Linked DNA regions of Drosophila melanogaster. The protein of the gene in region 3 purifies or fractionates together with the protein of the main gene of each other region. This does not show direct contact. Each region holds a gene or a part of one and is shown on either strand. Other genes may lie near its edges. The genes, in order: Rhp, DppIII, dah and CG32536.

Region 1 (8,994 bases), 460 kb from region 3:
CGACGGTGGAGGAGAAGATGATCAAGATCAATATGCCCCGCTATTACGGCTTCAAGGTGGTCGACTTCAACGACTCGAAAATCCCCTACAATGCACTGCCGCTCACGCAACATTATACGCGCACAGTGCTCGAGGATTTGCCATCTGAAACGGATAAGAAGGCACAGGCTAAGGACTCCGAGCAGGAGCAGGAGCAGCCGAGCGTGGATGGTCTTTTCAAGGCGGCTCGCGGGGATGTTATTGATGCCCTCGAGTTTGCCCACGACTACTACAAGTGGGTACAACGAGGTCCGCTTTCAACGAACCAAGTTCTCCGGCGAGTTTGTGGACAGTAGTTGGTCCAACTCACTTAAGAACTCGGATTGGTTGGAGTGGTCCCAGTTACAAGTTCGACCGTCTGATATTAATGTATTCATTCTCCTCCATTACCAAGCGTAGGCATCTGGAAAAGCAACACAACTCTGCCGAATCGAACCCCGTTGAACGTGAGCGCATCCTAACGCAGATCATTGTAGAACAGCTGAACAGAGCTCTGCTGCAGTCGCTCAGCGAGGAGTACAAGCACCTGGATGAGCTCGATGTCGACTACAATCCACGCCACGAAGCGTTCTGGGCCGTTGGCGGCGTAGATCCTCCCAAGAACGTGCAGAAATCGAAGAAGGGCCGGGAATGGCAAAAGGATATGGCAAACGAGAGCGTTGATCGGATGGTTCAGTATACGGGAGCGCCGTATCTTGCCCTACGCCATCGCAAGCAATTGACGCCGTGGAAAACGGAAGCGGAAAGCGAAAACCTCGAGCTGAGCAAACAGCTGCCCCGTTTCAAGCACGACCCGCGAACCCTCGGCTACAGCACCAAGCATCAGCACGCCACCAATGTGCCAGGCTATTGGCCCAAAGGAAATGAGAATAACTTCGGCCTGCTCTCATTTCAATCGCGTGCACACCTGCAGATCCGTCCGAAATCGTTCGGCGAGCAGGATCAGCTGGAGGCATTGCATTCGCTGGCGATTAAATCGTCATACGCCTGGCTTTTGGCCCAGGCGAACTACAATGGCTTCAACACCTACAACGAACTGACCTATCCCATGAACACTCAAACTGTGATCACGAACGGCAGGGAATGGAGCTTTTATGAGTATCAGCTTAATACGCTGCTGCTGCACGGCACAAACGTGGCGGAAAATCCCCGTGTCAACTTCTGTCGCGGTACAAAGCCACTTCCACTGTACGCCGAGATTTCGGCAAGCGGCAAGTGCGTTGATTTCAACGATAACGCACTGCGGCACCTGCTCAATTTCTATGCCAATGCGCCATCGATTCAGCGGAGCATTGGGGAGCAGCAGCCGTATGTTGCCTCCGACGTTTCCGCCTATGAGAACGCCGAACAGCGTGACTTTATCAATAAGACCTTCAAATATTTGGCATCAAACCGACCGCGACACTTGGAGCTGCCCGAAATCTACCTGTGGGAGAAGCTATACAAGATCGATAACAACAATCGTGCCATGGAGGCTAAGAGACGCTTCTTCGAGCTGGACATCAATCCTTGGCAGCGAACGCTGGACACACATGACAAGGAGTATGTTCCACGTGCGGTCCGACCAGACGTCCCTAAGAATAAGAACAGGTTCAAGAAGACGTACTACCCTTAAATGAATAAATATAAAACACTTCCTAAGGTTACACTTGTTAAAAATGCTGAATTTTTAATGTGAAATACTGGATTGCAGATTCGGAGCAACGAAACGGTGTACAAAGTTTCTTTAAACTTTGATTAACTCAATTTTCCGCAAACTTTTGTCAGTATGTTAATGATTTTTAATATAAATATTTTGTTAAATTTCAATTTAAATTCTATGCCATACAAAGTATATATATTTATTAACTTTGTTATGCTTGTGGTTAAACACTTCTGTAAATTTATAAGCTAGTCTTTTTTATCTTAAATTCTTTCAAATAGATATGATTATACAAATACCTGGAATTTTGCCAATTATTAGTGCTGATGATGCTAAAACTTGCCAATGCAATGCTTCTTATCATTATTTAATTGTTTATGCAGCACATATTTATTCTAGATTCCATTGTTTATTTCATTTATCAGCACTGCAAACATACCGAAGTTATCTCAAAAAGTGGGTAAAATGCGGTTACACTGCACCAGAACCATATTTTTCGAACGTAAAAAAGGTTTATAATGCTATAGTGTAGTTTAAATCTTTTTACCAAATCATATATTGTTTGAACATAATAGTGCACTAAGGTTTATATGATATTCCATATAAGTACACTTCAAACTCTTACTTAGTCTGGTAATATGTATGCATTAATTAATTACTTGATTATTTTATTATCCCATTTATTATAGTAGTTTTACATTTACGATAATAGCTTTATAGTCCACTACATCAAAGTTAGGATTGCTGAAAAAGTTACCACTTGTTGGTTATTTCGGTAACGTCCCAGCTAACCGTATGGTATGTTATAACGGCCGTGCGACGGTCACACTGGATCTGAATAGTTAGGCTCGAGTAAATAACCAGTTTGAGACTTTACGGTGGTTCGGAAACTCGTATCTGGCGCTTCGGTTGTCCAAAAAGGTAGAGCAGTAACCTGTTGCATATATATTTCTTTTTTTTTTGGTAATAGTGGAAAGTGTAGTGCAGACAAGTCGAACCCAACTGATATTGAGTCGAAATTCCGTTGGGCAAGTGCTGAAAAATCTTGAATATTGATCGTGGAGTATGTGGATACGGTGAGCATTTGTGGGCAAACAAGTGTATTTCTCGGTTATTTGCTTCTTTTTTTGTCGAGTCCATCGAGCTTATAAAGTTGTAAGGCGTGTAAATATGTGTATAATAATTATGCCATAACATACCAGTAGTACAAAAGTATGCTACTGATGATGTGGAACAAGCACGGATTATCATAAATATATGCCATGGACTCTCTGGAATGCCAGTGTAAAATAGTGAAACCAGTGGCCAACCACATATTTGTCTACATCTATATCTATGTCTATGTGTATATATATATATATATATCCATATCTATGTCTATTCCTCCCCCTCCGATCGCGAGCAATCCGATAAAACACTGTATTTATGCTTTGCATTCTGCGATCTCATGAATACGTGAAATCAACATCGAAATCTCCAGCCAACCGACGTGCTTGCATGTGTGTATAGTTTAGTTGAAACAAAAAGAGAATTAACGACAAAACAACCGAATGGCAGTTAATTCCTATTGTTTTCGAGCGGCCTGTCCCAGAAATACAGTTCGATCACAAGCGTCATATCTCGGTGTCCCAGAATTCCAGTTCTTGGCACACACTTTTTATAGATATGAACTGACTTTTATGATCTTGACATGTTTAAGTCTTCGTTTATGCTCAAACCCTTTAATATTCGGACACTTTGTAAGTCTCTAATGTTCTATTAAATAATGCCATTGCAATCCAATGTGTTTATTCACGATATCTCAAGTTGAGTTTGCCCTGGAGCAGTGCCATGACGGTTATAATATGTTGATGTTTGGCGCTGCTTAAATGGCTCGCTCGAATCGAAAACCGTTAAGGCGATTGATGAGTTTGACCTCCTAAAGCTAAAAAAGAAGAAGAAATGCGGTTCTATCTTTAGCTACTCATGTTGTGCATACATACGAAAAACGAGCAGCTCGTGTTATAATAGTTAGTTACACCATTCATAACGCGACAACAAGTGCTGCATGGATTTTCATGATCTTGGTCTTGTCTTGAAGGTCGGAAGTCTATTATAGAACTCTCTATATGCGGTGTGGTGAATAGTTCGGTGGGGGGGGGGGGAGGTTGTATTGTTATTATTTCATCATTTACCCACAAATTGAAAAGTAATCCAGTGTTTATTGGCAGTCCTTTTGGATCATAATCATTTCGGATTTCGGATCTTTGAACCATGGATGAAAAGGAACACGAATTGTCGACGAGGGTGGTGAAAAACGAGGAGAACGAGGATGACGAGAAGCTCAATGAGTTATCCTTTTGTTTTGTTCGGGTAAGTGTAGAATAGCAATCTTATTTATTTATGTTTTTGCGCACTTAGCGATTCGAAAAATGTCAAGTGGTATTATTCATGTATATTGTAAAAGTATTATTATTTTCCATTGCAATTGTTATCACCTAAAACGCCATAAATGATTGTATCACCCAAAAGCTTTGTTATGGAATATTTGATTTTGAACACTGAGTCATAACTTTAAGGGATCGCTATCATGGCTAATGACGTTCAGGAATCCGCCAAATATCTCCACAATATAGATTTAAATTCGTATCTATATATATATATATTTATATATATATATATATATTTAGATACAATCGATATAATCATATAGCATCCTGTTTCCAGGGTTCAGATCCACGAGCTGCCACTTGTCGTAGCAAACTCCAAAACAGGCGATGCAAATTAAACAAAGAAATAAATAAGGAACTCCGCCTTCGAGCTGGTGCCGAGAATCTATATAAGGTGCGTTACCTTACCTTCCGTTATCACTCTGAACATACATATGTATGTCCATGCCAAAACTAAATGCATATCTTTATGTATATATATATATATATATATATATATATATATATATTTAGGCCACATCGAATCGCAAACTGCGCGACACAGTTGCCTTGGAATTAAGCTTTGTCAACTCAAATCTGCAACTGCTGAAGGAGCAACTGGCCGAGTTGAATTCGTCGGTGGAAATCTATCAGAGCGAAAGGTGAGCTAATAAGCCCGCTCCTAGGATAAGAAACTGGGTGGGAAGACCCACCACAAGGTCTAACTTTCAAGGAAGCAGGCAGTTACAAGGCATTCCTTTGATGGTATTATAATAATAATCCTCTAATACTCTCTAGTCACAATGGAATTATGCCCATGATACCGCTGGGCCTGAAGGAAACCAAGGAGATCAATTTCATGGAACCCTTCTCCGACTTCATCCTGGAACACTACAGCGAGGAGCCCTCGATGTACATAGATGCCATAGCTGATATGACGGACACGAGACAGGTAATGCCTCGTACATATATAAGAATTTTATGCACATATAATCCAATGCGAAAAATTTCTAATAGGCATCCAAAACACCGTCACGAGATGCCCTGGGAGTGGCCCTACTTTTCCGCTACTACAACACGCTGTATTACGTGGAGCGTCGCTTCTTTCCGCCGGATCGTAACCTGGGCGTGTACTTCGAGTGGTACGACTCGCTCACGGGAGTTCCCTCGTGCCAGCGGACCATCGCGTTCGAGAAAGCCTGCACCCTGTTCAATCTGGGCGGCATATATACACAGATCGGCGCTCGACACGATCGCACGACGGAACGGGGTCTTGACTTGGCCGTGGATAGTTTTTTACGGGCCGCCGGGGTCTTTCGTCACATCTACGATACGTTCACGAATGCACCATCGATGGACCTGAAGCCACAGGTCCTGGACGTGCTCGTTTCCCTGATGCTTTCCCAGGCACGAGAATGCCTCTTTGAGAAGCTTCAGCTGCAGATCGAGGCGATGAGCGTGAGTTTCCGTCAGCATATATAGTATATAGTATATAGTATATAGTATGTAGTTACATAATTTTACCATCTATATAACCATACAGCACGATTGCCAGGCGTTTCGGGATCTGGCTGGCGAGGCTGCTCAAATATCGCACGAGTACAATGAGATGCACAAGAATATCCAGGCGAACGATACGCACACCTATCTTCCGGAATGCTGGGCCGGTCTAGTGCCAGTCAAGGCGGAACTCTACAAAGGTAGAATTGGTTATCACCTCGAAATGGGAATATTCATTCTAAAGTATGATTGTAAACGCCAACAGCATTCGCACATTTCTACAAGGCACGGAGCATAGATGCGACAGACGAGCTGAAGGCATCAAAGTCAAGTCAAAAGAACCAAGAATCCTTCATCGGCAATTCCCAGGAGGTGGAGCGCATCACCACAGCCGATTATGGAGCCAGCGATGAGGCGTCCACCTCCATTGCCAACAAACTGGCCCACTTAAAGGAGGCGCTGGCCAGTATCGAGGAAGCCCAGCGATTGCAGCGGATGTGTCGGTTCTTGAAGGTAAATATACTTCTTATATCCTATAGCCTAATAACCTAACCTTTAACTTTAATCTTTAAGAACAAGGCATCACTGACTGAAGTCATGAAGGAGGTGCACTCCAAATCGCAGGAGGAGCTCGAGAAGTTCAGACTGCAAGCTTCAGCCAAAAATATCGAAGATGGCGATCTTCTAGAGCGATCGGTAGAAGGTACATATATCATACTCAAGATAAGCCGATGTCTTCATGTACATACATGCATCCATATCCTCAGCATCTTCGAAGTTCACGTTATCCCTGACCGGACCCGACTTCACATCGCACAAGGTTAAGGATCCCTTCAAGCGCCTCGGCCCGATTGCAATATTCTCGGCGAGACGCCACTGGACAGCGCCCAGATGTGTGCGTCTCCAGAAAGGTTCCTCCCTGTATCACAGCGTGCCCAGCAATGACAACAAGTGCCCATTGGATAACGATGATGACGAGGAGCACGATGGTGGATACAATCTGTACAAGGAGGAGTTTGAGAACTTTGGCTTCCATGTGCGCGGCGATGCTCCGGTGATCATTGCCCACGTTGAGATTAATTCTTTGGCAGACGTAAGTAAATGCTACTTCCATCGATTCGTCGTATACTGTAGGCATTATTTTCAGCTTGGCGGCATCAAGGAGGGAGACTTCATAGTCGAGATAGCCGGCGTGGACGTGAAGTGGTACTCCCATCAGCAGGTGGTGCAGCTCATACAATCCTGCGGCTCTACACTCGAGCTGAGAGTGATAACGCCCATGGATCGCAACTACTTGAAGGTGCATTTTGTTTATTAATCATACGTAAAAAATCAGCAAACAAATTCACCTTGTTTACGCACAGCCATTGTCGTCGAAGGGCTCATTATCAACGCTATCGGCGGCCAGTTCATCGGGCATTTCATCCGGATTTCCCAGTCCCACAAGTATTGCGGCCAAGCCCAAGCTCCACCTGAAAACATCCTCTAGTTCGCGACCCGCTGGCAGCGTTTCATCCAGTTCGTGGAATCCGTTTCGGCGAACGCCTAGCTTAGCTAAAATATTTTAAGTAGCCATCAGTTTTATTTTGTGTTTTATTTTTTTGCTCTTAAGGCAATGGCCATTTCAAGTTAAAAAGAATGTTGTGCAGTTTAAGTTAAGCAATAAACTTAATGATTTTTTAAAAGCCCCTCTATTATACCCATAATTTATTTTATTCCTATTGATTCAATCGCTCCCAATCACCCATCGATAATAATCTACACGGAAAATGAATTGAAATAAATGTTTTTAATGTTTTATCGAATTTAAAATATATATTTATACAATTTTTGACATCTACATTTGAATTAAATCATTACGATCCAATGATTTCGAAATTTCAGTTTTTTATGCTGGAGTCGTAGGGTATCGCGGACTTTTTGAAATAGTTTGGGATCCAATCCACTTCTGTTTTGCGAATCCTCAAATTACAATTATAACCGAATGCTAACAATTTATGTTAATTAATCACACCAACGACTATTGCCCAACGAGTTTAAGAATATTGTTGATTTAACTGGAGGATACTGCTATATGATTACTTCGCACGCTTTCCATACACATTTGAACATAGGTTCTTCTTATCGGGGTGATGTCTTTATGCGTTCGCAGATTGCTATGCATAGAACAGCCACAATATCCACACAACGGCCAAATACGAAAACAGCTTGGACAGGGTCTGTTCATCCTCGTATTGCCTTGTTCCCCGATTAGCAGCTAAATACATGGGCAAATGTTATTTAATATCAATCTCAGAACTATTGAGATGGCATGTAACCTACCAGGTGGACGTGGTTCGCCAAAGTTGAGCGTAGATGTTATGAACCCGAAAGGAAAAGCTCCAATACCGAAAGACATGTGAAATCCGTCGCCGAATCCGAATCCAGGGAACCCGGGAACAGGATCTGGTTCTGTACGTTGTCCAGCGGGGCGTGGTGGAACTTTGTTACTGCAAAACACATATAAGTTGGGTTATTGAAAAATACTCATGTTGAAAGCGGTTCAAACCTACCGTGGATCTTCCTGGTGTGTACTATTTCTTCCGTACAGCGGTATGACCTTATCCTTATCAACGGCAGCCTTACAAACGGGACAGAGTTTGCGATTGGGACGCGTCAGGAGCCACTGATGCAGGCACGGCCAGCAGAACAGATGGCCGCACATGCTGACCACAGCATCCTTGGCGGTGTCCAGGCATATGTTGCACTCGTAGAGTGAGTCGTCTGCGGTATGTTCCTTCTCCTTGTCCTTTTCGTTGGCTTTTGTGTCCGTATCGGTGCCGCCGAATGGATAGCCACCCTTCAGATCGGCCTTATTGCCACCAGATAGATAGTCTCCAGTAAAGGAATACGAAGTGTTGGACTTCTTCAGTTCCGATGCCGTCGAATTGGTTGGAATCGAGGTACCCAGCGGGCGCAATTGACTTGTAGATGACTCCTCAGCCAAGGGTTCTGTGATATCCCGAGTCCAGGCTATCTTGTCGTAGCTCACGTTGTTGGACAAAGTCGATGAGGACGACGATGCCCCGGTTGATGTGCTGGGAAGCTCCGCTGTGGGTACACTTTTCGGTTCCTCCATGGTTTGCCCAAGATGCGGGTAAAGTTTTAGTCGTTCAAGCTGCAACGTAACGTTGGATGATTTAGAAACCCAAATTTGCTAAGTAAGTCTGTGTTCACCCTATTGACAAGTGCCTAGATTGCTTAGATGATTTTCCTAGGCCATTTCTGGTGTACAACTAAGGTCCGCACTTTCTTGAATATGACTTAATTTAATTAAATACTTCAAGCGCAGTTTGAAGGGGGTTTCCCCCGAGTTCCGCAGCATTCAGCATTTGTCCGACCCCATGGGGTGGTGTTTATGGCTAC
Region 2 (7,503 bases), on a different chromosome or scaffold from region 3:
CGCCTAGAGTCCTGCGGCCAGGAGCTGCAAGTTCTGCTCCAGGAAGAGCGATTAGCTGGAGCCACACTCCTAGTTCTCTGCAACAAACAGGATCTACCGGGAGCCCTCTCATCCAACGAAATTAAAGAGGTTCACTCTCATTGATTTTTTATTGAAACAACACATTTAATATACTTTATATTTAAAGATACTACACCTAGAGGATATCACCACACATCATTGGCTGGTGGCCGGAGTTAGTGCAGTGACTGGCGAGAAACTGCTTAGCTCCATGGACTGGTTGATCGCCGATATAGCTAAGCGTATATTCACTTTGGATTAAATACAATTTATTTTACTTCCTTATTTCTCGACCAAGTACATTTTGTATAGCTTTTCCTGCTTTTCGTCCGCAAAATTGGGCTTAAAGTTCACCTTGTGTATGGATATAAATCCTTCGTCTAGGGCGGGTTCCTGGTACTTTTTCTTCATCATGTTAAATACCATGTCCTTGATCTTGGTGCGCGCGGAGTCTGATAGCTCTCGGAAAGCTATATTGTGCTTCACTTGGGCGACGGGCACATTCATCACAAGGCAGCGGCATGGAATCATCTTTTCGCTGGCCAACTGCAAGAATTTTTTTCGAGAAGCTGCATCCACATTGGTGTTATCCACCACACATGATTGGCCCGAGTCCAGGAACCGTTTACAGGCAGTCAGGCAGTTTTGAGTGCTACCCAATGTATCTGCATTGACGATTTTGTAGCCCCGCGGTTGAAAAAAGCTGGAACAAAAGTGGCTCTTTCCGGATCCTGGCAGACCCACCATGATGACCATTTCGCAGGGGTGGTCATCGAGGGTCAAGTCATCCGGATCAAGCAGAGATACTTGGTCCTGAACGCTAGTGGGTTCAAAGTCCGGCTTATTCCACTGCTCCACTTGTTTGCCCAGGAAATGAACCTCTGGAGTGTAGAATGAAATTCCCACGTTGGCTGCAAAAAGTCTGTCTACTAAAGAGTGATCTTTGCGCCGCTTGGTGGCTCCCTTGCCCGTCTCCGGTCTTCCGGCTGCATCGCCGACGAAGAAACATCGATCTTCCTGAATCTCAACGCCATCATTCATTTCACTCTTTAAGTGCTGCCACATTCCCGTCAAAGGTTTGCGATAAAATCCATCACCTATGGCTATAAATACTTGAATTGGAACTCCCAGTTTAGCCACAATATGCTTGATCTTGACCTTAAAGTCATCTAGGTTGATTTTTCCACGAGCAATGCCTCCTTGGTTGGTGAAGAGACAGATTTTAAACCCATCCTTGTGGAGATTCTTTAGTTTCTCCGGCACTTCGGGAAATATGATCTGCCAGTCGTCGGTGTTTTTGGGGAACACCAGTCCCGATTTTGTTTTTATAATGGTGCCGTCCATGTCGTAGCCAGCTATCTTTTCAGAACCTTTAACGCCGACGCTGGTAAAGATAACCAGCTTACCATTGCCAGATGAGTCCCACCTCTCGGATTTCTCTGACGGTGATAGTGTTGTGGACAACGGCTCAGCTTTCTCCTTGTCATACTCCGGTGGAGGGTTAAAGACGACCTCGAACTGATGCCTGCCGTAAACGATCTCCACCAAGTCTCCGTGCTTCAGCTCGCGTTCCCCGTTCTGCATAAGCATCAGACCATTGACGCCGCAGGGATTAACTCCCAGGACTTTAAGTGAAACTACAGCCTTTTTTAGGTCCACTTGCAGTTGAATCTGTCGCTTCGAGCACTTGGAATCTCGGATGCCGGTCTCCCGGCTGCGTCCCACGAAATTCTCCCCAGCGGTCAGGTGTATAGAATGGTGTTCCGGCTCAGTGGGTTTAAGGGTGCATATCCTGGCGGCCACATCCTTGCCAGCTTTTCCAACGGATCGGTTTAGGTATTTAGCCATAGACATTTTGGTTAATCAATAAATAAGAGCATTGCTTAATATTGACACCAAAATTCACTAGAGAGCGAATAGTGTGACCTAATTTGGCATTAAAAGAAGAAGAGTGGCACACAGACATATGTACTTTGAAATGAAAGTGGTTGTTTTTACCTATTTAAATTGAAAAATAAATTACTCCATATAAAAATCGGAGCCTAGGCTCTGTGTGAAACCCTTCCAGAAATCTTAAATCCATCAAAGATGGCTTATAGTAATAGTGTCACTTAAACATTATTCGATAGTTAAAGGCAGACAAAATTTTGTTCCGAATACTCCAGAAAGTTTCAGGAAACGTAAATGCAAAGAAACTGTTTCTCTTTGCGCGTAAGTTACCACCATTCCATACAAAACATTAATTTAATTCGTTCTTTCCGATCAGCCCTTCCTTCGGGGAGTCGGTGATGTGGGTGCAGTTTGTAAGCCCATTCGTGAATTTCGCAACTCGGCTGCTTTGAAATATGCTGCTGCTGCAGCTGCAGCTCCGAAGACACGTCCTGGAAAAGTTCCTCCAAAAATGGTCAAATTGAGGAAGCAATTTCAGGCGGACAATGATTTGCCGATTTTTCTAAAAGGCGGCAGTATGGATAACATATTATACAGACTCACCTGGGTGCTCTGCTTCCTCGGCATAGGTGGCGATGTATGGTTGTGGCTTGGCTATATCATTGCCTAAAATCAACAGAGATCATGCAAGCAAGCCCACAAAACACAAATACTCTGTACACGAATGCAAATACCAATTGTAACGACACATACATTAGTTAACTAGTAACGTTTCTGTACATAGGTAGTTCAAATACGGAAAATCAATTATATAATAATAATAATGTGCTTTACTTCAAAGTGTTCATTGGAGTTTTTAAATTATGCCGCCAATATTTTGCCATTCACATATCATATAACACATATGTGGTGTTATATCGACTCACAAAGCAGCTGGTCACACTGCTTGAACAACTTGCACTTTTGTCGGCATTTCTTAACTGCATATTTTCTCACTTTTTAAAGGTAAGTACGCACGAAATTACTTATTGATTATCTTTTCCACTTAAAACACGAATGCCCGGTGGGTTTTTGTTTGTTTTGCGATTGACTAACCACGTAGTTCTTAAACATTCACATTTTCCTTGGGCTCTGCCAGTTCTTCACGTTTTCGGGCTCCATTTTAGCCATAGTTTTGTTTTCTATATTCTTGTGGTAAAACGCCGCTTAACTGCCACATCTGCAGTTTAGCCGGCTTGCTGGAGATAAAATTGCATTATCAAGTTTTCATGTGTTCCCCGAGTTATTTGGCTTTTCATCCAAATTAAAGTAGCCTTTTCACATTTTCCAGTTGGGCGACAAGTAATGTAAAGTCTTCAAATAGAATACTCTCAAAAAATTCCCAGTAATGTTTTGGCTAAGAGGGCTACAGAGATCCCGGCAGCAACTGAACAGGCTGTGTCATTTCCGTAGTCGTCTAAATTACGGGACCAGTCCCAGTATTCGCTCAGTCCAACCGTCAATCTCCAGAAGTTTGGGATTTTGTAGCTCCCTCGTTCGTTACAGGTATTTGCCAGGTGTTATCTAAAGCCCATGTATATAATCGGTCCGGTTCGCCATATGATATCTTTGCAGCTGCAGCACCAACCTTCCCCAACCCGCTGAGATGGCCAGTAAAACCGCGCACTTCGTCCTGCCTAACACGCAGCCCATTGCCGATTTGGACTGCAAGAGTGCCTTCGAGAATCTCACCGAGAAGGAGAAGCTCTACGCCCACCACTTCAGCCAGGCCTCCTGGGACGGCGGACTCATTGCCTTGATCCAGTCCAGTCCGGAGGCGCCGCTCATCTTCTCCCTGCTGCACCGCATTTTCCTAGCCGAAAAGATTCCTGTTCTTAGGGCGAAAGCCCTGGAGGCGGGAGTGTCTGCTGATGATTTTACGGTATGGCAGAGGAGAGTTTCATATTCTCGAAAATAAATATTAATTTTGATCACTTTCAGGCCTTCCTAGTGTACGCCTGCGGTGTGTTCGCCAACGCGGGCAACTACAAGGGTATGGGCGACAGCAAGATCGTTCCCAATCTCTCAGAAAAGCAATTTGAGACTATAGTAAAGGCATCCGCTGCTTACAGCGATGAGCCGCGCGTAGGCAAGATCTTCGAGAAGGTCAAGAATCTGATTTATGCGCTCGAGTCGCGTAACGAGATCCTGGGCTTTGCTCCCGACGGAATCACCACCTACTGGTCGGATAACTGCACCAAGGAGGACTCCGAGATCGTGAACGCTTGGCTGACCTCAAAGCGTATCGAACCGTACATGTGCCGGACCTTCAAGATAGTTGAAAATGGTCAAACCGTCTACGATGTAAAGCTGGGCTCCGTGGCGGAGTCCACGCAGGACGGCATCACACTTCCGCTGGAAGAGTATAATGGCAACAAGTTTAGGGTGACACGCGGTGATTACCAGAAGCTGCTTCAGCGCGTCAACCAGCATCTGCTGCAGGCCCAGAAATACGCAGCCAATGAAAACGAGTCCAAGATGATCGAGCACTATGTCCGATCCTTTGAACAGGGCTCGCTGGACGAGCACAAGAACGGATCGCGTTGGTGGATCAAGGACAAGGGACCTGTCATCGAGACCTACATTGGTTTCATTGAGACATACAGGGATCCTGCTGGAGGTCGGGCTGAATTCGAGGGCTTCGTGGCCATGGTGAACAAGGAGAGCTCGGCCAAATTCTCCGAGCTGGTGAACCGCGCCGAGAAACTAATAGAGTACCTGCCCTGGACGGAGCCTTACGAGAAGGACTCTTACCTGAAGCCAGACTTCACATCCCTGGATGTCCTCACATTTGCCGGCAGCGGAGTACCAGCGGGCATCAATATTCCCAATTACGACGAAATCCGCCAGGATGAAGGCTTCAAGAACGTCTCGCTGGGCAATGTGCTGGCCAACATCAACCGCAAGGATCCCATTCCTTTCCTCACCGAGGAGGATCAAACTCTGATGAAAGAGTACAAGGTGAAGGCTTTTGAGGTGCAAGTGGGCCTCCATGAACTCCTAGGCCATGGTAGTGGCAAGCTATTCCGCATCGACGAAAATGGTGTGTACAACTTTGACAAGGAGAACACTAAGAACCTGGTCACCGGTGAACCCATCACCAAGTGGTATCTTCCTGGAGAAACTTACGACACCAAGTTCGGAGCAATTGGTTCCTCGTACGAGGAATGCCGCGCCGAGGCGGTGGGCTTGTATCTCTCCCTGCAGCGTGACATCCTGGAGATCTTTGGCTTCAAGGACAAAGCCGAGCAGGACAACATCATCTATGTCAACTGGCTGAGTCTCATCTGGAACGGCATGGGTGTGGCTCTGGAAATGTTCAACCCGAAGTCCAAGCTGTGGCTCCAGGCGCACTCTCGCGCTCGTTTCGTGATCATGAAGGTGCTGCTGGAGGCAGGCGAAGGACTCGTTAAGGTCGAGGAAACCGAAAAGGGTAAAAACCTTTTGCTGACGGTGGATCGCAGCAAGATCGATACCGTGGGCAGGAAGGCGCTGGGCGATTTCCTGACCAAGCTGCAGGTGTACAAATCCACCGCCGACATCGAGGCAGCTTCCAAGATGTACGAACACTACTCGAAGGTCGACGAGAGCGGATCGCATCCGTGGGCCAAGTGGCGGGATATCTGCCTGGCGCACAAGAAGCCGCGTATGATTCTCGTCCAGGCCAACACGGCGATCGGCCAGGACCAAAAGGTCCAGCTGAAGACCTACGAGCCCACCCACGAGGGGTACATCCAGTCATGGGTGGAGCGCTACCCCAACACTGACATCGACGATCTTCTGGAGAGCATCGTGGAGAAGGACAAGAAGTATTTCCCGACTGCCTTCAACAACTGAGAACATTTCGCATTTAACATTTTCGCCTTCATTATCAATTCAATTTGTTAACTATGATTTTGAAAAAAAATATATAAAAATATATATAGTCATCTAATGACCAACAATTTTAAATTTTAAATTGCTTTTATAGTAAAACTTTCGTAGTGAATGGTGATTTTAAGATCGTTTTTGCCATTCACCGAAAATATTGACAAAGGACCTGAATTTAATTGCTTGTATGTACATACATATATTGCGACCAAATGTATATTGCTCATAATAGCTCCACAATTAAGAATGTAAATATAAAATCAAATACTACAATTTGTTCATTGAATGTTTTCATAGTAGCCAGTCGATAAATATTGGTTTTTTTTTTTTTATTTTGTTTCTCGTTTCCATTTCTGTTTGCATTGTTTTGACCACCATGGCAACCGGTAGAAATCGTGGTAACCACAAGGAAGGTGGCACTATCAACATCGGACAGCCGCTATTCCAGGTGCCTCATTCATTGCGCAAGGAGCACGACTTTTTCAGCTCACAGCTGTTCCGAAAATTGCAGTACGACCTGGAGGAGGTGAGCCGCAGCCAGGAGCTTTCCAAAGTGAGTCCCATAACCCGCGACTTCATCGAGGAGGCAGCGATGACGCAGGAAATGCAAGATCTTAAGCGTGCGGAGTTTGTGGAGAGGAAACGTCGCCAGCAATTGCGGCGGGATTGCGAGGAACTGCGCGACTTGGCGGAGCAGCTGCGCCTAGCCGCCATTTCCAGGGATATAGCCGAGAATTTGGAGGAGAAAAAACGTCGTCGACAGCTAGACATCAAATTGGAAGCCGCGGAAGTGTCCCAAGAGCGCTGTCTGCTGGAGGTCAGGCAACGTGAGAAGGAAGTGGCTCTTAAGGAGGAACAACGCCGCCTTAGGGAGTCCTTGGCTGAACAAATGGAGGAGAACCGCCGACGGCGCCTGCAAGAGCACGCTCAGGTGATGAATGACCGGGAGCTGAGCCTTCTGATGCAGAAGCAAATCCAGGAAGAGGATCGAGCCCAGGAGCTGGAGGCGCAGAGAAAAAAACTACAAAAGCGACAGGACATGCTGCGGTCCATCAAGGAGAACCAGGAACTCAGAGAATGGCAGCGAGCTCAATACAACCAGGAGTTGAGTGACTTAGTCCAGAAGCAAAGTGACATGGAGCGCAGGAAACTCCAGCTGGAGGCTGAACGCCAGGAGATTCAACGCAAAAAACAAGAAATCAGCATTCGTTTGGGCCAGCAAGTCCTAGAAATCGAAGTAAGTCTTGAAGCGGTTTTTCGATTCAATCAATAAAGCTAACTCTTATTGCAGAACAAAAAACGGCATCGCGACAATCTGCTGCTGGATCTGTTGGAGGCGGAGTACACGGCCAAGAGTGACGAGCGCTATCGCCAACAGATGCAGCAGGAGCAGATGTCTCGCCAGCGCACCAGACAGGAGTTGGATCGCTATCGACAGGAGGTGAAGCATCGTAAGATGGCCGAAATGCAGATGAAGCGGGCGGAGATGGCTACGCGGCAGGAGGAGGCGCCGGATACAATCAACCAGAATTCCGAAAAGCAACTGGATGAATATCGCAGACGCCGGGCCCATGGAGCCTCCTTGCTTGCTATGATTGAGGATAATCACCGGAAGCGGGCGGAGGCCACCGCTGAAAATGTTCA
Region 3 (7,282 bases):
CAACGCATCGAAAACACTGCAAAGTCAGCTGGATCTGTTGACCGATCCGAGCGCCACGGTACCGGAAAAGCTGTTGGCCTACAATCGCGCCAACCGTGCCGTGGCCATCCTCTGTAACCATCAGCGTTCCGTGCCCAAGAGCCACGAGAAGTCAATGGAGAATCTGAAGGAGAAGATCAAGGCCAAGCGGGAAGCCATCGAAAAATGCGAGTCCGAGTATCATGTAAGTATATTCGAGAGGTTCTTCCGCTAGCAGTATGTTTAATTGTTATAAACCAATGCAGTCGAGAGACGAGAAGAAGGGCAAACAGCTGGAGCGCCTAAGGGATCAGCTGAAGAAACTAGAACTACAAGAGACTGATAGAGACGAGAATAAGACCATTGCCCTGGGCACATCTAAGCTAAACTATCTTGATCCACGCATATCGGTGGCTTGGTGAGTGGTCTCTCCCTTCAAGCAGCACATTCCACTCAACGAGAACTAATATATATATATATATCATCCATTTGCAGGTGTAAAAAGCATGACGTGCCGATTGAGAAGATATTCAACAAAACGCAAAGAACCAAATTTCTGTGGGCCGTTCATATGGCCGATGAGAATTATCGTTTCTAAATGGGTTCTCCTCACAGCCACGCCTAGACACAAACACACAAGTACGCCGACCCTTCCTCCACCCACCACCACCCCTTCAGACACACACACAAACACACACTCGCACCCGATCGAAGAAGATGTAACAACAAACCACACCCACCACAAGGCCGGTTTATAAATAGATTCCATGCCAATCCCGCCATTGTTTGGTCCACAGTTTATGCAATTGATAGTGCATATGTCCAGCTTTCGGCCAACGCAATGGGGGATTGTTAGCCAAAATGAGCGGGACGGAATGCTGCACTACATCGTAGTCGTGGAACCGCTTGTACGCGTCCGTTTTGTCTGCTTTGAATGGGATTAATGGGATCAAGTGCATACTACGCCGAAGTCTAACTTGCGAAATGTGCACACCCAAACACAAGCTAATCCAATATATGTCAGTTTTATTCATTAAAGGCAAGAGGAGATGTGAAACCTGGGCAAGACGTCGCCGCCACCTAAAAACAAATCAGGAGCATAATTTTCTATGTCTCTACAAAAGAACTTTTTTGTCAAGATACCCTTATACTTCATAATTTTACATATAAAACATATATACATATATATATTTATATTTATGTATATAATAATATTTGTGTATATATTTTTATTTTTAATATAATACATACATTTACATAAATATATATATATAGATATATATATATATATAAAAATATAGATGTATATATATATCTATATATATATATATATATTTAATAGCAAAAGCAAACGAAAATTATACAATTTAAAACGCAATTTTTTTTATGTTTACCTATAGTTGATTTTGTTTAGCGAAAACAAAAAACAAAAACAAAAACAGGCATTTGTACATAACAAGCCAGCAATTAGTTACCAAATTAGATATTAACTAAATTAAGATATAATAACATTGTAAATAAATATAGCTGTAAGCCCCGTAGCTAATGCTATACTATCTAAGTTAGTCTAGTTTTGTAAACTATTCTATCTATCATAATAATAATAATAATTTGTATAAGTGCAAACTGAACAGAGAAACCTTGTAGCCCAACTTTTAGCATAGCATAATTTATTCAATTCAACTCTGAAGCAGCGCTATTTGTCGACCGACCGCCCCCGAAAATGAAGAACAAAGCCACATTGGATGGATCTCGATGTGGTTTCGCTTTGATTTCGTACCTTATGATCATTTTAGTTAACATTTCGAAATATACAAATGCTAAATTGATTTGCAGACAGACCCTTAACTTTCTATACTCTAAGCAGACAGGTTTCAAGTTCTCAACCGCAAACCAAGCCGCCATCACACTGAAAACCAATTGCAGATACAAATCAAACGAGCAATTCAAATAACTCGATGAACCAAAACAGAAACACAGCCAGCAAACCAGTCGCAGCGAAAGAAAGAACTTTAATCTGAAAGAAAGGAACTTTATACATATAGAATCTATAGAAGTATGTGCAATTAAGTGAGCTAAAACTATACCTTAAACCTTGTAAAAATCGAGCCTTCACTTGAATCCTTCAGTCGACGAGAGCAGTGGATTCAGGTGGAGTTAGGAACATCCCCAACATCCATGTGCCCCAATCCCATCAGCTACGATTATGGCCGTACTTTTAACTAAGCAAATCGATGGAAATTTATATCTCGCCTCACGCCCCCCCTAGCATAAATGGCAAACGCGCATTGCAAATGAAGAGCGAACGATCTTTATATACATACATATAAACACACACACACACACGCCCAAACACATATTATAATTAGTGATTGATATAATGTGAACGCAAACATCTGTGTGCGTTTGTCGTGGATTCGCATACGGAAGCGGGAGAATGCTTTTAAAAGGCAAAAAAAAAAGTTAAATAAACTAATTACGAACCCTTCTTCGAACGCCCAGCCCCGCCCCGCCCCGCCACAACACTCACATATAAACTTGGCATATTATAATATTGATATAAGCAAACAAAAAACAACAAGCGAAATGATAAGAAACCCACTATTTTAAATCGAAAGCAAAGTAAATGAAAAACAAAATAGCATAAGTGAATGTAATTGCAATGGAATGATGCAAATATACATAAAATATATATTTAATTTTAAAATCTATGTGACACTCTTTCCATTTCCTCGTTTTGGGTAATTATTCGCATTCAAAAGAAGGGTTTTTAAATAACTTTGTTTTGTTTTTGAAATTGGGAAAATACTATGGTGAACCCAAGTTGTTCAGTTTACATTTCCCGTTGCTCAAACTTATTTACCAATTATTATATCATGGTCAAATATTCTTAGAACGAACGGATGACTTAATTAATGATAATAATAATTTTGAATCAAATTTAAAGCGCTAACGGTTCGGCGAAGTGATATCGATAACACGCGCGGCGTTGCCACCTCACGCCACACAATTTGACTTTTGCGCTAACGGAAGAGGAAGAGATCGCGAGAAACGACGCGTTTAAAAGAGACTGAAATTAATTCGAGAATCAAGGGAAATATATAACAATAAACGCCTGACAAAATGCTGAGATCGTCGGTGCCCGTGCAGCTGACAAAACTGCGAAATAGCGCCGAGGCCGTGGCGTCCATTGCCCGCGAAAAGGGATCCCAAGGTGGCCAAGGACAAAAGCAACAGGTGGACAAAGAGCTATCCACCATCATGGATGACTTGCAGCGGGATTACGGGAATTACAAGTACACGGTATACCGGTGCGCCAGTAAATTTGTGGCGCTGCAAAAGATATTTCACAGTGAGTCAGTCGCGTAGGTGGTCCATTCGAAGGAGTCCCCAAGGATTAACCTTCAAATTGCAGCTGGAAAAATCCCCTACAAGCTGGTTTTGGCCATTTTGGATCGCCATAACTTGAGTGGTGGCCTGGAACTGATGGTTCCTCCATTCCAGTTGACCTCCCTGCTGCACGATGTATACTTTGCCTGCGAGAAACTAGGCCATTTCAACCAGGATGCGAACTATAAACTGGACAGGGCAACCGGGCTGTTGGCCAACTTCTTCTGGAATGTCTACGATCCGTGGGTTGAGTTTCTGGCATCTTAAGAATATGTCTGATATTTGATTGGTTTCGCTAGGCAACGCAGACACTCCATATCCCTGTTAGAGATCAGGATCACCTTCATACTGCTGTGCAAGCTATATAGCAGCGATCACCTGGTGGGCGACATCTTTGGCCTGCTGGCCGATCCCAAGTCGCAGATCATCTCCAGATATGCATTCGAACAGCTCCTAGCCACGCTGAGCAAGTTACTCAGCTATTTGGGCGAGGCCAAGGCCTATGGCGTCCACAATCTTCCGTTGGCTATGGAGCAGTGCTTTGCCCGCTGTCCGCATGGCGTTGGTGGACTGACCGAGCCGCAGTTCCACAAACTCTGGACGGGAGCGGGTGTCCAGACGAGATTCCTGATCTATGGCAATCTGCTGGCACTGGTGAAACGCATCGAGGACACCGAGCATTTGATTCACAGTAATTCTTGTGCCGGCTGCCGCAAGGAGCACATTGTGGGCATACGTTTCCGGTGTCAGGTGTGTAGGGATATATCGTTGTGCCTGCCCTGCTTTGCAGTGGGCTTCGCTGGTGGTCGCCACGAGCCGGGTCATCGGATGTGCGAGGTCTTCGTGGAGGATCAGCCGCCATTGCGTTGGACCCGCCACCTGGCCAGGCTGTGCGGCTGGCTGGTGATGCCGCGCAAAACACAGGAGGAGGAGCGTCGCGGCTTCTGTAATGCGCAGGAGAGTGGGCCCGCCTTGGGTCAATCCGCTGCCACGCCCATTCCCGCAGAGACGCGCAGTGTGCGCAGTCAGTGCCAGGAGAAGGACCGCACAGTTGTCCTGCAGCAACAGCAGCAGGAGCTCTGCTCCCTGACGGGTCTAGCCAGCGAGGCGTCCAGCAGGCTGCAGTCCATCATCGATCGATTGCTTTTGCAAAATGCGTGGGTGTTTTCCCTTCTTTCGCCACACTTGTTAGCCAAGCCTTAAGGTTCTCTTGCATTTCAGGAAGCTGGAAACCCAGCTGCAAACAGTGGCCACCGCATCTAGTTCGGAAATATCGCAGTTTCTGAGCGCCCATCAGTGCTTTCTGCTGCAGATTATCGAGGATATGCGACAGCTATCAGTGAGTTTTCCAAACATTCGGCCCATTTAAGCTGAGCTAACTCCATTTATATACACTTGCAGCATGCCTCAGCGGTAACTTCGCCGCCACCTGCGCCAGCTGCCCAAGTGGCGCCTTCAGCTGCGCCCCTAGTCAGCTCCACGTTCCTTAGCTCCAGCACGCCTCAGCGACAGATGCTATTCGACATGTATGCGCCCGTGGGTGCCAATCTCACGCACTCCAGTAAGAAGAGAACCTTCAACAGAGCCATGAGACAGCTCCACTAAGTTAATCGTTTCTTGTAGTAAATGGCGCCGACTTGAATCGCAGCTATCTGGAGGCAAACAAATCGGATTACTCGCTCAACGACATAAGCTTGTGGTTCGACCAGCGTCGCTCGAGTGTCCAGCCAGGACAAGGACCTGGTTCCCTGCCGGCTCCTCTGCCGCTGCCCATGCCGCTGGGTGCTCTACTGGAACAGCAGCCGGCAAACGGCGGAGATGGCCGCGACACCGAGATGGTGAACTTTAAGCTGCTGCTGCACAAGGTCAAGGAGATCGTCGAGGACTCGTACAGCGATAATGCCGAACTGTCGGCGGCCACGCAAAATCTGGAGAACGTTCTCGATAGCATCATCAAGAGCGAGGAGCAGCAGCGGCGCATCAGCACGTGAGGATCCGGATCGGATACCAACTCCCATCGATTCCAGCCAGACCAAGTCCACTTAGCTTTAAGTTGTAAAGTTGTTCTAAAGTAATCGTGACAAAATGACACAACCGAGTCATGCATTTATTATATCCTTCTTCCTTTTCCCATGTGCTTTAACATTCGCGTAAATGCTTTAATTTGTAAACTTACAACTCTGACAAGAATGCAATACAACAAAATGTTTTTATAAAAATATACAATGCAAAAAACACATTGTTAACAAAGCATTTACATACAAAATATCAACTTTGTAGATTTTCCAATGCAAAGAGAAGAAAAAAAAAACGCATTTACGCCCCATTGTCATCATCATCATCGGTGAATAGCATAGAAGCCAACACATCGCTGGCCATTTGTGCCTTGTGGAGCTGCGTCAGCTGCTCCCGGCGCTGCTCCACACTGGCTGCCGGCTCACTCAAAACCTTCCAGGCGTCCATCTCCTCGAACAGACTGTTTAGCAACTCCATCTCCATGTCGGCAGGCGACATGTTGTGCTCAGCGACCTCTAGCACATTGAGGTTGCAGTGCAGCTGGAGGAGATCGCGCGTCAGGCGATGCAGTAGCAGACGCAATCGATCGTCCGTTCTGGCGTACACATGCCAATGCTTTCCGGGATCGTCGCGAAGCAGCAAGGTGTCACACCACTGTGACTGCGGCTGGCGATTGTAGAAAATACGCTGGACAGGATCGGCGGCGATGTTGGAAGACTGAAAGTGAGACCCAGGCTCACTGTCGTCCAGCAAGTCGGAAGCTGTAAGGGATTATGAGTTAAAAGGGACAACAAGTGGTCTTGACAAAGCTACTCACTCGGCTCCTTGTTTGCTTCCTGGGCTTGGATCAACTGAAACTGCAGCGTGGAGACGAGTAGCTGCTCGAATGTCGTGCAATCCTGGGCCGACTGGAACTCCAATTTCAGGGAGCAACGTGCCGTGTGCGTCATAATAACGGCCAAAAAGTCTTGGTGCAGCGTGGCGGGCGAAAATGTGGGTGCCAACGATTCTGTTTTATCGAGCAGTTTCTTCACATCGAAGGTAATGAGATGGATTTGCCTAGGGGATGCATCCTCGCCCATCTCGTACGTTGCCATCAATATGAGTTTCTCTGCCTCAAGAAGATCGACCAGACGCAGGCTCACTACCATCGCGGCAGATCGTTCCGGCGGTAGTATTCTTTCCTTCTCCACCGGTCGCCATTTGAGACGCCTGCTATGCTGATCCTGGCAGGCCCAAAACTGCGCCAGCTGGTCGTAGTCCTCGGGTGGTTGGCCATCCGCCTGCAGAGGCAGCTCGTACAGGCGGTGCTCCACGCTAAAGTCGGTGTGTGGTTCGATTACAACAATCGGATACAACTCCTTGACTATGGTGAGGCGATTGGTGCCAGTTATGTTGACTAGCAGAGTGCCACAAACAAAATAATCGCCGCAGATCCGAGTCCATACATCGCCGAGTCGTCGGAGCGGCTGCTTCTCCTCAAGGAGCAGCGAACGCTGGCCCGGCGTGCCGAAGTATAGAAGGTCTTGGACGTGGGCTAATTCCTTCTGGTTTTGCATTCGCTGGCTGTCGAGCTCGGCTTGGGCGCGGTGCACCTCCTGCAGCAGGTTCTCGAAATCCTTCGCGGGCAAGCCCGCATTTTTGGACGTGCTGGGCTCCTCATTTAAGAAATCCTCCTGGAAATCACAACGCTGACGCTTGCCATTGCCGAACTCCAGTTCCACAACGGCCTGGAAGGAAATGGGACCTTCGACCATCTGGTAGTCCACCACATCCTTGTGATCCGCCACCAGTTCGAAGTTGGCCCCGTGATCCTTGGGCCTCTTTAGGACGACGAGATGCTTCCAGCACTGAATTA
Region 4 (6,189 bases), 3.9 Mb from region 3:
GTCCGAGCACGATTGCCGGTGCATCAGGTGCAGTAGCTCCAGCCCACGCTACCAAAAAGAGCTGGGTGCGCACCATCGTCGACTTCCTCGATCTCACGCTGCTGAAGAAGCCCATTTTCGTTAACATCGTGCTGGGCATCACCTTTGCCCTCTACTCCGACATCACCTTCTTCACCATGCAGCCAGTCTACCTATTTGAGCTGGGATACAGCAGGGTGAGTCATTACCACAATATCCACAGTTAAGGGCTGGAGCAGTAGGCTTACCGTAGTTTACACTAAACTTGCTAGCTCTATTGAAAGAAATGTAGATGTGGTGGGTTGATTGAAAAATTACATAAAAATTGTATGCATATATGTTAGCAAAGTAGAATAGACACCATATTTATGTGTAATTAACATAAATTTTCGCAATCTTTCCATATGTACTTTTTACTTTTCGTATCCCTAATCATATCCCTAATCTTGATAACCTTATTCAAAATTTCTTTGAGAAACCAGTTCAAACTGAATTGAAATTATATCACGTGGTATAGATCGTATATCTAAAGTCACCTTGAACAATCTCTAAAGCAGTCGACTTGCTGCTTGTCAAGCAGTTTACTACTTGCCAAGCAATATCTACGATGCTTGCATATAATCATATCTTGCAAAGTAAGGGGTATCTAATAGTCGCGGAACCCGACACCCGTTGCTGATTTAATTGAATTTTTGTTCTTGTGAATTATATACAAATAGATTTCTTTTAGGTATCACAAAATGCCAAAATTTACTTGCGAAAACGCAGTTTCAATAATAATTACTAACTTTTAACGCACACCAAACTTAACACTTTGAGCGATCATATAAGCAACTGATAAATCTGAAATCGATAACAAAAATTAAGTTATATGAGATTTAGAAGCAACTTAAAAGAATAAAAAACGTTCACAAAAAAAGGCAGAAACGAACGCGACGCCATTTTGAATTATTCGAATTCACTTTGTCCGCTTTCGCCGTTAAAAAACGGCTAATCGGAAACAGTATTTTACAGATTAAAAAAAAAAAATTAAAAACCTTGTAAAAGAAAAACATAAAAATAACATAAGCTTACCGTAAGAATATATAAACGATTTCTAAGTGGTTTTCCCAGTCTGATTATTGCGATTACCAGGTTATTTCCAGTTCTTTCAGTAACTTCTACATCCCATAAATAATATTGTTTTTTTTCAGCCCGACACGGCCACCATTATCGCCATTGGAGCGGCCGCAGACTTGGCATCTCGTATTTTCCTGGCCATCACCGCCGTGTGCATCCAGGTTCCTTCGAGATACATTTATTTGGCCGGAGCCGTTTTCACCGTCTTTGCGAGATTCGGTAGGCGAACCCTTCCTTGGGCTCCAAGAACTCCCTTCCTCCCACTAATCTCACTCATTTTCCCACAGCCTTCAACGGAATCACACAGTTTGTGGGCATGGCCTGCATCACGGCGGTCATTGGATTTCTGCGCACCTGGCTCCACGTTCCACTGCCTCTGGTCTTTGCCGACTACTTGCCCAAGGAAAGGTGGGTTCTTTTGGCAAGCTTATAGCATTTATCACAAAATTATAATATATATTCCTCATATATTTCCATCTCGTTTAAGGTTCGCCACTGGCTATGGCCTTTTCATGTTCATCCAAGGCAATGCCATGTTCCTCATCGGTCCCATTGTTGGGTTTATTCGGGACAAGACCAGGGATTACATTTTCGTCTTTCACATCCTAAACGGCTTCATGATCCTGTGCGCCGCTCCTTGGGTCCTCGAAGTGCTGATCGTCAAGTTTCGGAGGCGTAACAAAATCGAACGCAACAACGTTGATCACGAGGATGTTGATAACCAGGGACGTAGTGCAATGGTCCAATAAAAAAAACTCTACCACCCCCCCCCCCCCTTCCTTTTTTTTTAACAAAACATATCGTGAATTATTGAGGTAATTTAGGTACAATTACGAGAAGTATTAAGCAAATAAAACCAAAACATGTTTTTAGATGGGAAATTAAATTGTCAAAAGTATCATTTGCGATAAAGAAAAAAACAGCTTGTTCTTAAAATGGAAATTTGATAATGAAACATATATATTTAATATTTAATATAATAGCTTGGAAAAATGAATGTGATACAGTATTTTTCAAAAAAGGAAAAAACATAAATTCAAAAATCACAGTTAAACTGTTTAATACTTAACGGTAATGTCACAGTTTTCGGTATTTACAAATAGAGAAGTCGGTAGCTTAGTACAACCATTTGGTATTCGCCGCTGTCCACGTGGCGGTCACACTAACGGGGTCCAAGAAACTGAAATTTAGTAAATAATATAGAATAGGATAGTTAACCAGGTGACAATGCTGCAGCAAATCAAGATGCTGGTGCTGGGCATCATCACGCTGTGCCGGCGTGCCTTGTGCTGCTTCTCCAGGCGCCGCAAGCTCAGCCACAGCGGCTCCGCCACCGGATCCGCCGACCAACTGCAAGCGGTCAACGTGATCGTGGAGCGAGGCGACTTCTCCGCCACCGGCGCCACCTCCGCTGGCCAGGCCGGCGGTGGCAGGACAGCGGGGGCGCGCGAGCGGGACTGGAACTCCTGGGACGACAGTCCGCGCACCGTGGAGGAGCACATCGAGCAGTACCGCCAGCGAATGGCCCAGCCACCCACTCCGCCCAAGGAGGAACCCGAACCGGACTTCTTCAGTGTGAGTTGGTACTCAGGCAATGGGCGCGGATTACGCAGATTGCGCCGCTTGCACGGCCCATAGTCGTAGCCCAATTGTAGGGATATTCACGCTCGCTGATGGTGGGATAGTGGGCTATGTTGGGGCTAAATGGCGACATCCCCACCTGTACACGTATCTAGGTGACTTCGGCGTGTTTACCCTATACCCTATCAACTGCACAAGTTTGTATGTGGGCCATAATCACGTCATAAAGATTAGCAGCCATAGAAAACGACAGGTATAAAAATCTAGAAAGAAATCATTTTCGAAACTATTCACAACCATTTATTTCAAATTACGCTTAATTTCTAGTTGTGTTTAACTAAATATTTGTGGAATATTTAAAAGGTTTACTTAAAAAATATGAATATTTAGCTTATTACTGTGATAATTTGTTAATATTTCAATAGTTTTTTAGAAATTTCAAAAATATGATTTTATGAGTCCACAACATTTGAACCAGGAATACTTAAAGAGTGTACTTAAACGCATTATTTGTTAATAGATACTTGCAGATTTGACAAATGCAAATGTCAAAATATTTATCCTATGATTTTTAAAGCTATAAAATATAGAAAACTTGCATAGTAAACTAAAAAGTGAGTGCTTACAACGCTGAATAATATTTGTTAATGAACAGCCGTTTTTAGTTTGCTAATTGTTCATATTGAGGTATCTGTTTTATGAACAAAAACTCCATATTATTTCTACGCAACAGGCATTGATTTAAGTAAAAAATAAAAAACATGAAGAACCATCCAGCTAAATAAGTTAGTTAATACCTACAAAAGTAAAAACAAGCAAATAAAAAAATTGTGAATCACAATGCATATATTCTTTATATGACTATATATAGAATATATAAGTATTTATAATATCTGTGTTTCATATCCTCAACGATTTGGCTAAAATGTAACCTTCTTTTAGGAGCTGACGCCCACCATCAAGCCGCAGATGAAGTTCTACCTGGAGGATCCATCCACGAGTGCGGCGACCAGCCAACAAAGTGACTTTTCAAGACTGCAGGCCCAGGACTTGGTGCCAATTAGCGTAAATGTGAGCCAGTTATAGCCCGAATGGAATGCATGAAACGAACTAATGTTTCTTACTCGGCAGGCCGATCTCGAGGACTGGGTGGATGATAATGCCGGCGGCTGGGAGGAGCTGGACACCTCCCAGACCAAGCACATTCTGCGTGAGAAGCGTCGTGAGTTGCGCCATCAGCGACAGCCGCCCGTCCGCCCGGCCCCGCCCACTGTGGGCGCTCAGCGACTGACCGCCGGACAGCGAGCGGCGTAGTTGTAGCTGCACCAGCCCCTAGCCAACCTCACCAACCTCACCAGCCTCACCCACTCTGACCATTCCACAACCGACCACCTGCATTCTGTTTCCCCTTTCTTTTGTTCGATTTAGTTGATTGGCTACACGAAATAAATCTTGCCTTTCACTCGCACTTCCCTCCTCGCGGATCAGTTGGGCCACACTTCCTGATGGCTCTGCGGTTTGGACGCGCTCCATTGGACCCGCTTCCATCTGCAGTGAAGTGAAGTGGCGTGCAGTCGAGTCAGGCCGAGTGTCGAGTCCATAAAAGCGACGGCAGGCGACGGAAGTCGCAGATTTCTATGCGATGCTGTTGCCGGAGCTGCTGCTACTCGGCTTGGCCGTCTCCCTGGCGGACAGCTACGACCGAAGCGTCAACTACTGGGAGGCCTTTGCGCCCGGCAAGCTGCTCCAGCGCCTGGACGCTCTCACCGTCACGGATGTGGACCAATCGAAGGTGGTCAAACTGCCGCAGTTGATGCAGCCCATCCTGCCAGCCAACGAAGCGCAGGCCAAGGTGGATGAGGACGTGGACGTGGATGTTGAGACGGATGCAGAGGCGGCGGCCGTTGACGATGTGGACAGCCTTAGTGCGGAGACCAGCCACGAGGGCTACTCCGGCGAGGACAACTACGAGCGCAACTACGAGCAGTTCGTCAAGGAGTACTTCGATCGGGCTGCCGACGACGATGACCACGACGAAGGCGAAGGCCTGGTGGAGGAGGAGGAGGAGGAGACCCAGGCGGAGGCCACCAATGTCAGGGATCAGCGCTGCCGGCAGGTCAAACGGAAGGATGGCCAGCTGTGCGAGATCTGTCGCCAGTTGAAGAACAACGAGGTGTCCGAAACGTGCAGCTACTCGCACGACGACCAACCGCAGCAGTACGCCTATGGCAGCGGCAGCCAGTACAAGCGTTACCGCGACGATCCCGCACAGAAGGCGGATCAGGAGCAGGCCGAGCCGGTGGCGCCCAGCAGCCTGTGCGTGCGCCGCCAGCAGAAGAACAGCGTCTGCTACGAGTGCAAGGACAGCAAGGGCCAGAAGATCGAACGCTGCTACGATGTGCAGGCCCGCAAGGCCAAGACCCGAAAGACGAAGGCCTCCTCCACCCGTCATCCGTCCAGCTCCGTTCACAAACGTAAGCCGCGTTCCCAGCAGTCGCAGCAGTCGGAGCAGGAGCAGCGCATCTACAAGCGCACCATTAGCTACAGCTATGCCCAGGGCACGGATCAGCAGGGGCCGCGGTCGGAGCAGCCGGCCGGCGGGACAACGGAGCTCCCAGTGCCACGCCAGCGTCGCCGGCGGCTGGTGAAGATTACGCGTCGGCGCGGACCGGCTAAAGTGCAATAAAAATCGTGTTTTCATTCGCATGACTCAATGTATACCCCACTCGTTAGCTTAGATTGATTACCACACACATTTTTTTTTTTTGTTACAATAAATCATTCTGTAAGAACACATTGCATACTTGTGGGCTAATCAGCTGGAAGAGATTAAGATCACGATTAGCTAGAAAAAGGTTTTTTATCCCAAAAATCTTCGAATATCAGTAGGTGAAGTTCCGAAATATGAGGCACTCTTGTGGATTTTTATACACATCTACTATTAGCATAGGCATTTCGAAATATTTGCTTGCTTTTGAGTTTGTTTTAAGCCGGAGCTCAAGATTCATTATAAAATTTGATATGAAGTGTAATTGTGGCAATGGCAAAGTATGGAACAATTGTAAGACATATGAACAACAAGGATATATGCAAAATAAAACCATGATTCAATGTTAATAACTAACAAGCAAGTGAGACCCGATGAATTCATTTCAATTGAACAAGAAAACTTGCACAAAAGTCGTTTATTGAGGGGAGCGCTCTCGTCGATTTCCCAACCATTTCATTTATTTGTAAAAACCACAAACATCATTACATTGGCATTAAACTGGATGCGACAATTTGCAATTGAAACGAACAACATTTACTTAACAATAATTTTGGAGCTGCCGATGCGAAAGGGAAAGGGACAGCAGGCGAGCGGCGAAAGAGACGGCTATAGCAGCTGGTGATAAATGCAGCTTTGGCTTTGGGAATCGCTAACGTTAACTATTCGGATTCGACATTCGACGAAATGAAATCGAAGTGTCT

What was found.
Region 1: the proteins of dah (region 3) and Rhp purify together in Drosophila melanogaster (affinity purification with mass spectrometry, with the first as the bait; one large-scale study listed by BioGRID). This does not show direct contact.
Region 2: the proteins of dah (region 3) and DppIII purify together in Drosophila melanogaster (affinity purification with mass spectrometry, with the first as the bait; one large-scale study listed by BioGRID). This does not show direct contact.
Region 4: the proteins of dah (region 3) and CG32536 purify together in Drosophila melanogaster (affinity purification with mass spectrometry, with the first as the bait; one large-scale study listed by BioGRID). This does not show direct contact.

What each region holds. Positions count from the first base shown.
Region 1 is NC_004354.4:15,786,356-15,795,349, forward strand, and holds Rhp (rhophilin), read left to right. Parts: upstream 1-2,541; 5' UTR 2,542-2,757; intron 2,758-3,891; 5' UTR 3,892-3,934; coding exon 3,935-4,033; intron 4,034-4,387; coding exon 4,388-4,504; intron 4,505-4,623; coding exon 4,624-4,751; intron 4,752-4,887; coding exon 4,888-5,041; intron 5,042-5,106; coding exon 5,107-5,547; intron 5,548-5,632; coding exon 5,633-5,789; intron 5,790-5,854; coding exon 5,855-6,102; intron 6,103-6,162; coding exon 6,163-6,292; intron 6,293-6,356; coding exon 6,357-6,682; intron 6,683-6,736; coding exon 6,737-6,889; intron 6,890-6,953; coding exon 6,954-7,157; 3' UTR 7,158-7,277; downstream 7,278-8,994. Other genes in the region: mRpS30 (mitochondrial ribosomal protein S30), read left to right, coding at 1-274, 439-1,654; sordd1 (suppression of retinal degeneration disease 1 upon overexpression 1), read right to left, coding at 7,746-7,846, 7,912-8,078, 8,142-8,707.
Region 2 is NT_033777.3:8,341,529-8,349,031, forward strand, and holds DppIII (dipeptidyl aminopeptidase III), read left to right. Parts: upstream 1-2,871; 5' UTR 2,872-2,955; intron 2,956-3,280; 5' UTR 3,281-3,337; coding exon 3,338-3,495; intron 3,496-3,564; coding exon 3,565-3,871; intron 3,872-3,930; coding exon 3,931-5,826; 3' UTR 5,827-5,937; downstream 5,938-7,503. Other genes in the region: Arl2 (ADP ribosylation factor-like 2), read left to right, coding at 1-129, 188-322; PNKP (polynucleotide kinase 3'-phosphatase), read right to left, coding at 343-1,914; COX7AL (cytochrome c oxidase subunit 7A-like), read left to right, coding at 2,245-2,271, 2,327-2,620; CG7352 (uncharacterized protein), read left to right, coding at 6,236-7,096, 7,151-7,503. UniProt on the Drosophila melanogaster protein: Degrades neuropeptide proctolin (RYLPT) by cleavage between Tyr and Leu residues.
Region 3 is NC_004354.4:15,325,303-15,332,584, forward strand, and holds dah (discontinuous actin hexagon), read left to right. Parts: upstream 1-3,039; 5' UTR 3,040-3,141; coding exon 3,142-3,370; intron 3,371-3,433; coding exon 3,434-3,650; intron 3,651-3,707; coding exon 3,708-4,565; intron 4,566-4,629; coding exon 4,630-4,747; intron 4,748-4,809; coding exon 4,810-4,969; intron 4,970-5,031; coding exon 5,032-5,399; 3' UTR 5,400-5,700; downstream 5,701-7,282. Other genes in the region: Top1 (topoisomerase 1), read left to right, coding at 1-223, 285-436, 514-616; CG9114 (uncharacterized protein), read right to left, coding at 5,725-6,185, 6,242-7,282.
Region 4 is NC_004354.4:19,273,000-19,279,188, reverse strand, and holds CG32536 (uncharacterized protein), read left to right. Parts: upstream 1-2,290; 5' UTR 2,291-2,364; coding exon 2,365-2,712; exon of another isoform or gene 2,713-2,971; intron 2,972-3,660; coding exon 3,661-3,789; intron 3,790-3,849; coding exon 3,850-4,032; 3' UTR 4,033-4,185; downstream 4,186-6,189. Other genes in the region: CG8028 (uncharacterized protein), read left to right, coding at 1-215, 1,212-1,356, 1,425-1,545, 1,625-1,886; CG32537 (uncharacterized protein), read left to right, coding at 4,361-5,404.